Sus scrofa: one gene and its partner. The protein of the gene in region 1 binds, or shares a complex with, the protein of each later gene. Links are inferred from orthologs where the notes say so. Each region holds a gene or a part of one and is shown on either strand. Other genes may lie near its edges. The genes, in order: GRM5 and HOMER1.

The links.
Region 2: the proteins of GRM5 (region 1) and HOMER1 are in contact, whole or in part, in a crystal structure (PDB 1DDV), measured with the Rattus norvegicus proteins. The link is inferred for Sus scrofa from reciprocal best matches to the Homo sapiens genes GRM5 and HOMER1. Residues at the interface, in XP_006229721.1 of Rattus norvegicus: Thr1155, Pro1156, Pro1157, Phe1160; in NP_113895.1 of Rattus norvegicus: His12, Phe14, Trp24, Thr70, Ser71, Gln72, Lys73, Phe74, Gly89, Phe90.

What each region holds. Positions count from the first base shown.
Region 1 is NC_010451.4:22,435,133-22,439,514, forward strand, and holds the start of GRM5 (metabotropic glutamate receptor 5), read right to left. Parts: upstream 3,069-4,382; 5' UTR 2,895-3,068; intron 1,126-2,894; exon of another isoform or gene 737-1,125; intron 687-736; exon of another isoform or gene 341-686; intron 316-340; exon of another isoform or gene 203-315; intron 108-202; exon of another isoform or gene 1-107. UniProt on the Homo sapiens protein: G-protein coupled receptor for glutamate. Ligand binding causes a conformation change that triggers signaling via guanine nucleotide-binding proteins (G proteins) and modulates the activity of down-stream effectors.
Region 2 is NC_010444.4:88,243,064-88,247,557, reverse strand, and holds the start of HOMER1 (homer protein homolog 1), read left to right. Parts: upstream 1-1,552; 5' UTR 1,553-3,208; coding exon 3,209-3,222; intron 3,223-4,494. UniProt on the Homo sapiens protein: Postsynaptic density scaffolding protein. Binds and cross-links cytoplasmic regions of GRM1, GRM5, ITPR1, DNM3, RYR1, RYR2, SHANK1 and SHANK3.

The DNA of each region.
Region 1 (4,382 bases):
GTTCCCGAGTTCCAGGCAGACGCTTCATTTTCTCTGCGAGGTCCCAAGTGCAGCGTAGGCTCTGGTCACGGGCTAGCTGGTGGACCTGCCCCCCCGTTCTTTCCCCAAGTCGTTGTACCCTGGGCTCCCTCCCCAACATGCTGCTCATGCTGCTGCTCCGGGGTAATGAGCAGGCTTTGTGCCCGAAGGGAAAGCTACTTACACAGGAGAGGAAAGAGCGGGAGGGCGCAGACTGGGGTTCAGAAAGAGGTACGCTAGCCTGAGTGAAAGCACTGTGCTTTCAGCACCACCCGCTGTCCCCCCTCTTCCAGCAGCTGGCGCCCCGGTCGCCGCAACTAACCGATCTCCCGGGAAGCGGTTCTCCTTCCTCTTCCTCTCCACCTTCGCTCCTCTGAATTCGGAGCCCTCGGGTGGTTCGCGGGAGGCCAGTCTGCAATCTAAACGCCCGCACCTGGCCTTAATGAGCGGGAACTCGTATCCGAAGGCATGCAGAATCCCCTTCTCAGTCCTTGCGGCCATTCCCTTCTTTATCCCATTGCTCTTATCCTTCTCCCCAACAGGTTTAACTGAAGCCATCCACAAATGGAGCAGACTTCAGCCTCGAGGCTCTGGCCACCCCCGCTCCACCCTCGTCCCCCTCCTCCAAACCAGACAGTGAGCTACCCAACAAGCTGATAGCTGCCACATCCTTCCCCTCCCGGGAACACTTGGGCACACAGACACTTAGCAAGCTTACCCCCCTGTTGGCCGCACAGCGGGCGGTGAAGTGCGGTCTAGCTAGCCCCCCATAAAGTTGGGCCCCTCGGATCAGCGGGGCAGAGCTGGCCTCTCCAGTCCCGGGCTCCCCCACAAGATGATCTTAAGCTCATCTTCTGCGCTCAGTCTGCGCAGAACAGCAGAGCTGAGGGCGGCGGCGCGTGCAGCAATCTCCCTGTTACTGAGAAAGGGGGGAAGGGGAGAAGGGGAGAGCGCGGAGGAGGGAGGGGTGGTAGTTTGTATTTATAGAGAACAGAGTTCTCAGCGCAACTTTTTGGTGCCACCAAGTGGCACAGTGAGTTCCTTTAGGAACACAGACTTCGGGTGGAATCCGGATGGGTAAAGCAGCTCCACAGCCAGATGTTCACATGTGGGGGGACTGGGAAACATCCCCAAGGCTTGGGTTTTCCCACGGATGCTTTCTCATCTCCATGCCTAGGACTCAGATCCTTAAATTCTAAGGAGGAGCTTGTTGGGGGGTGGGAGGGGGGAATGTGCACCTGTTCCCTCTTCAGACAAGTGGCAGAGGTGTCAAGGACACTGAGCAGATGCCGGTAGCCTTCTAGGAGTCTAGGGACCCTTGTGTTGGTTAGAATGTTTCTTGCCCTCTCCCAACCCTTCTGTTCAGATTACGGTATTCTCAAATCTCACTCTTCAACAATAGTTATCCTGAGAACCCAACCTCTAAGGGATGCCATTCATTTTCCTTCTGCTAGAATCAATTCCAGATGACTTCCCAAACCCTCATTCAAAGAGCATCACGGCTTGCCACCAAACCCCCTTCTTTAATTGCTACCTTTTAAAAAGCATGTGACTTCAGGCTCTGTGGATCGGAACCTCTCCAAACAGCACTCAGAACTCCAGGTTCTCTTGGCTACAGGCTAGGTGTTTGAGTGTCCTTCTCACCCATTTCTACAGACCTCTTGGCATGCATTACACCAACAGCACAGCTAGGAGCTTGCAAATGCCTTTGCTACTTTGAGGGAGAATGCTCCAAAGCTTCCTTTATCTGGATTTTCGAGGTGCTCTTCCTCCCTTGTATGCAGATCCTCAAACCCATACAATCATAGACAGACATTGAGTGGGACCTTAATGTCCCAAAACACAGAAAAGCCTCTACATTTTGCAGACTGAGAAACCCAGTACACAGAGGTTAAGAGACTTGTTCAAGGTCACATATTTTCCTAGAGGCTAGCCCAGGGACTACCCAGGGTGATACTAAATGAAAACAGTGATGCCAAACCCGACTTTCAAGCTCCTGCTCCTTCTACCATCCCACACAGCCCATTCGGTCACATTCCGCTCCTTTCTCCACCCCGGCTCCCTCTGTATCCCTCTTTCTGACCCCACCTTTTGCCAAAGTCCCATAAAGGAACCTAGAGTAAGGATGTCTTCCTAACCCCGCTGGGAGTACATAAACTTGAGCTTAATAGGGCCAGAGTTGCAGGTGTTCCCCCTTAAAATGGCCCCTGTTCTAGAAAACCTCTCCTTCCCAGTAGTGTAGTCATGGAAGTGTCATTTTGGAAATGGAACACTGGCATTTACACCCAACCAGGTCCTTCTTTTGCTGTCTCTTTTCAGGGCGAAGCACCAGCAAATGCTCTTATTAGCCCCGAACCGACACCTAATGGCTTCAAAGATGGAGAAGCCCCCTCCCCTCCTTTGGTAAATGCACCCTTTCGTGCATATGTATCGGTATGCGAGAAAGAGAGAGATGTCCAAACGTTCCCTTTGGCTCAGATGTTGATTTTTTTTTCTCCTCTGATTTTTTTAGTTCGTTTTCTATGGAAACGAGCCCACTTAAATTCCTCACTTATGTAAATACAAGCAAAAAGATTTTCATAAACCTCGCCTTGGAGCGACGCCCCGGTAGCCTGGGCTCCCGACGAAAGAGTCATGTCTGATTCACACACCACACGTCCTTGTAGGGTGACTTTTCTAAACTTGCAGGACCTCACAGCGTCCCTGGCTCCACCAGTTCTCCACCTGCCCACCACCTGCCCTCCTAGGTCCCTGAGCCCAAGCTCCCGCCCCTTGCCGGACTGCTCTCCATCCCTGCGCTGGGGGAGGGGCCCCGGAGGTCTCCTACCTCCGCGGCGACCCTAGAGCCAAAAGAAAGAAAAACGCGCGGTGCTTACCAGGTGCGCGCCCGGAACCTGGCGCCCCCAGCCACTCGCTCCTCGCGGGCTCCCCGCGCTCTCGGAGCGGCCTGGGTTGCAGCTAGAGCGCTAGTGGTGGCGACGGAGGCAACGGAGGCAGCAGGCAGAGCGGCTCCCGGGCCCGCGGCGGCGGCGGCGGCGGCGGCGCCCGCGCTCTTGCGCCAGCGCCGGGAGCACGTGCCGCGCTCGGGCAGACGCAGCTGGCAGCGCAGCGCCGGGCGGGCTCCTGCTCCTGCAGCGCGCGGCGGGGGCGGGAGAACGATCGGGGCGCGCACTCAGTGGTTGACAAGGGTCTTGAAGCCTAGTAGTCATGGGGTTCGGGCGAGGGTAGCCTCGGGCTCCCTCTGCAGCTCCTTGGGAAGCCTCTGGGAGCCGCGGAAGGAGAAGAGCTATGCAGGGAGGCGTGGGTGGCGTGTCACTCTGAGAGAAGCTGGGGGAGCAGGTAGATAATCAGCTTCTTTCTGACGGTGGCACTTAAACCCCTGACAATGATTGGGAGAAGGGGCGTCTCTGCTGGAGGGGAGAAGGTACCGGGAAGTCAGGGAACCCCAAGATGATTCAGAGGTGTGAGTGGTTAGAAAGAACGGTCTCTCTAATGGCATTACTTATTAATAATGCCATTTTGCATTTGTCTGCACCTCTTACAAATGAGTCTTTCTACATCCATTAAAATTTCTTCCCCCCCGCAGCAATTAAATCTTTTACTTCCTTAAATGGATTTGCTCCCCTTCTCACTACTACCCCTGAAACTGACCGAGATTGTTTAAAAAAAAAAAAATGCTGAGATTATCTTTGAATTCCAAAAGCAGTCTTCCATTCTACTTCCTCAAAAAAAAAAAAAAAGGTATAAATTAATCGTATGGCTTAATGCAAAGAAAGGAAAGGCCTTGCAGCAATATGATGTTTATTACCACCAGAGTTTCCCGAGCCACGTGCTTGCAGCAATTGGGTGAAAGGTTAAAAGATGAAGACACTGAAGTCAGGAGGTCGTTTATAATGTATACATTGCTAATGTAGATTTCCCACAAGACCCTTGAAAGCAAGGCAAGTTGTTCTTTGATAGCTTCAATATTCAACAAGAAAGAGATACGGATCTATCACACCTTGTTGATCTTGACAGTGGCATCTTTCTTTTCCCCGTTTTCATGTGTACTCTGACGGTGGCATTGTTCATTTTTGAGATTCTTCCATTGCAATCCACAAAGCAAGCTTTATGACTTTGTAGAGAGGCCAGCAAAGCTCTGGTTGATCCTCTTGCATAAGAAAGATGAGAAAGGTGGTATAGATGAGAAAATACAAAAATAGTGAGGAAAATTAAGGTGCATTAATGACTAGATGATTCTGGCCATGTGATTAAGTCTGATGTATAAAATGTTAGTCCATTGGCTGGGGCATAGGCCATGCAAAGTCATAGACTGGATCCTTGGGGAGGGGGGCGGGCACTTAGCTTTGAATGAACGTGGACCA
Region 2 (4,494 bases), on another chromosome or scaffold:
ACAATAAGGACCAATTATATAGCACAGAGAACTATATTCAATATCTTCTAGTGGAAAAAATCTGAAAAAATTATATGTTCTTTCGATTATAATGTGTACAGTTGAATCACTTTGCTGTAAACCTGAAACATAACAGTGTAATCAACTATACTTAAATTAAAAAAAAAGAATCATAAACACTACACATATAAAAAAAGATTTTCATTGATTGCATTATGTAGACCCTAATCCTTTTAAAAACATTTATTGATTCATTTTTTTCTTTCATTTGTAATTTTCTTGACTCTAGAATTATTAAACATTCACAACATACTTGTAGACCTGTCATGAGCAAATAAGCATACACACAAAAATACCCTTTTCAAAGTATAAATATATGAAAGGTACCTTTAGGGGAACTTCTTAATTTTGGTTCTGTACACTAATTTATTAATTTAATAATTTTGAGGTGAAGTCACAATGTAAATCTGACTGCGGTGACTTTTCTCCTTGGGGATTAGAGAGTCATGAAAGTTGATTTAGAATAATTACCAGACATGTTAGTCATGGCAGTTAAGAGACTGACAAAAGTATCATTATACATGGTTTGTAAACTCAGTTTAAAGTGATTAAATCTCTCAAAGGAAAAGGTGGTTAAATCTCAAAAGGTCTAATCTCCCTTTTACCATGTGTTTGGGTTTTTTTCCCCAGGCCTTTGGTGTCCAGTTGATATATTTATCTTTACTTACTTGATTTTTGTTGTTGTTGTTTTGTTGTTTAGGATTAATCCAACTCATGAGATGAAAGAGTAGGGAAAATGAGTTCCATGTATGAAATATTTCCTGATAGAATTTTTAAGTGACTGAATAGAAGATATTTTAAATAGCTTTATTTCTCAGTTAGTTAGAATCTGTTTAGTTGAGTGAAATGTACAGCTTCTTGTTTGTGTTGCATGTTTGTAGTGACCTGCGGGGCACAGAGTAAAGTGACCTGTATTTTGCAAGATTCATGAAAAAAAACGAGATTTTTCCTAGAGATCAAAAAAACTCTGTTGAAGTTTGGAAAGTTGAGTGCCTTTTGAAACAATATAAGGTTTCAGGCTCAGGAGGTGTTTTCATTTCAAAAGCATTGCTGTGTGATAAGCAGTATTTCTATACATTTTAGCCCATCTACAAAAACCGAGGTGAAATTTTCAAACCTTACCGAGCATTGCAAGAGTAGGTAAAACCCTTGAAAGGCTAATCACTCATGGTCTTCCACATGTGAATAAAATCGTTAGTGTCTTACTTTTAGGCACAAACAAATCTGAATTTTTCACAACATACCTCTCTGTATACTATAAAATTAAGACGTCCATCATCACTCTTTTTTTTTTTTTTTTTTTTTTTTTCTTTTTAGGGCTGGCTGCACCCACAGCATATGGAAATTCCCAACGAGGAGTCGAATCTGAAGCTGCAGCTGCCAGCGTACACCACAGCCACAGCAACCCAGGGTCCGAGCCACATCTTTGACCTACACCAGAGCTCACGGCAAAGCCGGATCCTTAAACCCACTGAGCAAGGCCAGGGATCAACAGCATCCTCATGGATTCTAGTCAGGTTTGTAATCCAGAACGGGAACTCCCAGTATCACTCTTAAAAGAGATTTATTGGTGAACTTGTGCTCTTAATTGTAGCTTGATTTTCCTTTTTTCATCTGTCAAAAGTCTAATAACACATTGGTCATTTCTATGCTCCCTAATAAAATACCTGATAAAAAAGATGAAATTGACAACTATCAATGCTGCTTGTTATAGGCAACATTTTTTTAGGGGAGAGGTTGAAATTAATCACGTCTTTGTTATCTTTTGGGGGGGCTTGTCATGACCCTCCACTTGTATTTTATTTATTTCTCATTTTGTTTTTAAAAATTTTCAAAAATCTCACTTCTTTGGTAAGTACAATTGAGTAGAACTTTTATGGGGCAAAATTAAATTACTTTTTAGTGACCTTACAAAGGAAAAAACCAAACTATTCTTTCTCATGAGGTTTTTTTCCCTATGATTAATTGTTAACCCATTATGACTCTTGCATAGCTAAAAGAATTCTAAATATGTAAAACTAACATTTGACTTAGTTAAGATCTGAGTTTCATTAATACGTAACTATTTTATCTAAGGTAGGCTACTAGATGAAAGCAAAAAGTCACTGTTTTCTTTTTTATATCAGAAAATAAAATTATTTATAAAATCCAAAAAATTAGCAGTCTAATCAATACTCTGTCTTCAAAGTACAGTTTACCTTTGCATTTTCTCTAGCTTTCGAAAATTCACTTTAAACCCTTAACACTTAATATTTGCTTCAAAAAATAGTTCTGCTTTATGAACATTTTCTTTTAATGTTCTCCCATAAAACATGAAGCATTTCTATGTTATCTTTGAAAAGAGTTGGCACCAGTTCCTTAAGGCAGAGCTGTTTTAAGAATTGAGGGCTTTTTGTAAAATTACCAAGTTAAGAGTTAGGAATTAAACACAAACAGAAAACCATGCTAAAGGATCACAGATACCAAAGCAGCTTTCATTCCTTTATAAGGTCACTTTAGGTTATGTTTATTTATTATGTCGTGTCTGTTGGCACAACTGGATCCAGGAGTTCACATGCCTGAGTCCAGAGGGCTGTAGCAGAGTGTCCTTGACCCCACCCCACCCATAGAAGGGCTCGCTCCTAATTGGTCCCTGTCAGCGGGCAGTGATAGGAGTGTAGGGAGAGCCCCAACCCCGGTCTGTGTCTCTCTGGATACCATACATTGATTCCTTAAACACTGAGTTCTTAGTGGAGCACACATATACAGTGTAAATTGAAAGGATCTGGGGAATTAGATCCCATTTTGAGTGTACAGAAAAATCCTGATTCCTAGCAATTTGGTATTAGCTGGATGCTCCAATTATTTTTCTGATCATTTTTCTCAATAAATTGTTGGATCCTTTCACCTTTATCTTTAAGCATGCCTCGATCCTCCTTAAGTAGTGTTGCCTGCCTTCTGTTTCCTTTCCGAAGTTTAAGGTTGTTCTGAATAAGGCTTTTTTTTGCGAGTTGGAATTTTCTGCCCTAGTTACTTTCAGTTTCCCCCATTAGGTTCTACATAATGGTCTCTAGGAAATTATCTTAAGTGGATTAGACTATCAAAGAGCTCAAAGTATTCATGTTGGAAAATTTCTGTCAGTGTTCCTTTGTGGAAGAGAAGTCTGTACATGACTGAATTTAGGTAGGACAATTATTTTGAACCAACTGTAATACTTGAGTGGGCTTAACCTATCCTTTTGCCTTTTTGTGCTTACTTTTTGCTTACTCTTTTGTAAAACTGTCGTTTTCTGCCCTACTCTGTAGTTATGAATCTCTATCATCTGGATTTTAGCGTTAAAATTCATGTGCTTTGCTTAATCACCCTGCCAGCTCCCAAGATGTTTACAGAATGAGGATTCCACCTACTCTTGTTTACTCAGTGTTACCAGGGATCTGTATACATTCGGCTGAATGGGAAGACTCCCAACTCACCCGGAAACTCATCTTTCAGGTTCTTTTGTGCTAAAATAAATAAATAAATAAATAGTTTTAGGTCTTGCAGGCTGCCTTTTTGCCTAGTCAACTGATAATATATAGAATTTTAGTTCCCTGTTTTCAGTGTTGCTTTCATTTAGTGTTTTATTGATGCTAAGTTGATATTTATTGCTATCCCTAAGTTAATGTAGGTGAAATAAGACATTAATGGCAATATTGCTGTTTAGTTTTACTTAGTAGCGTATTAGTATATTCAGAGTAGTTAGTATATGCTCTCTGGGTAAACTATAGGCTGTTCATCTGGTAGGAAGCTAGCCTGAAAAATGTTTTCAAAGATGGTGCAGTGGTCAGTTAGAAATGATTATGCAAAATTTTGTATTCTCACCTATATAAAGTGCATTCTATGTATGTGTACAAAGATTTGAAAGACATTCCTTAAAGTGTTACCTTGTTTATTTCTGGGAGGTATGATTGTGAAATTTTGTTTTTTGAGTATTTCTAAATCTGTAAGTTTCTCTGTGATTCATGTATTCACTTCTTTCTTGGGTTTTAAGGGTGAGGATATTAAAAGTGCTAATATCTACGATACAAAGTTATCAGGATCAGTCACTGTTCCTACGTATGGATAGATGCTTTTATGTTTGTATCAGTTTTAGCTTCTTTATCTAATACTTTTTTTTCTGTTTCAAAATTGGCTAAGGAAGTAATTACTCCAATGATAGCAAAAATGGTTTCTTCTATAAAGAGTAGTCTGGCTGTCAGTTACCAGAATGTTGGTAATGCACTTTTTATGGGTAAGGAGCCAGAGCCAATGAGGAAATGTTACTTAGAGGAGGTTATGCAGGGGCAGAGCTTGTGGACAGTCCTTCAGCCCCTTGGGGCTCTTGCCATTAGTTCAGCAGAACCAAAGTGGATGCTAACATCACAGACTCATTTAGACAGGGGTTTCTAATCCCTGATAGTTTAAAAAAGTTCTCAT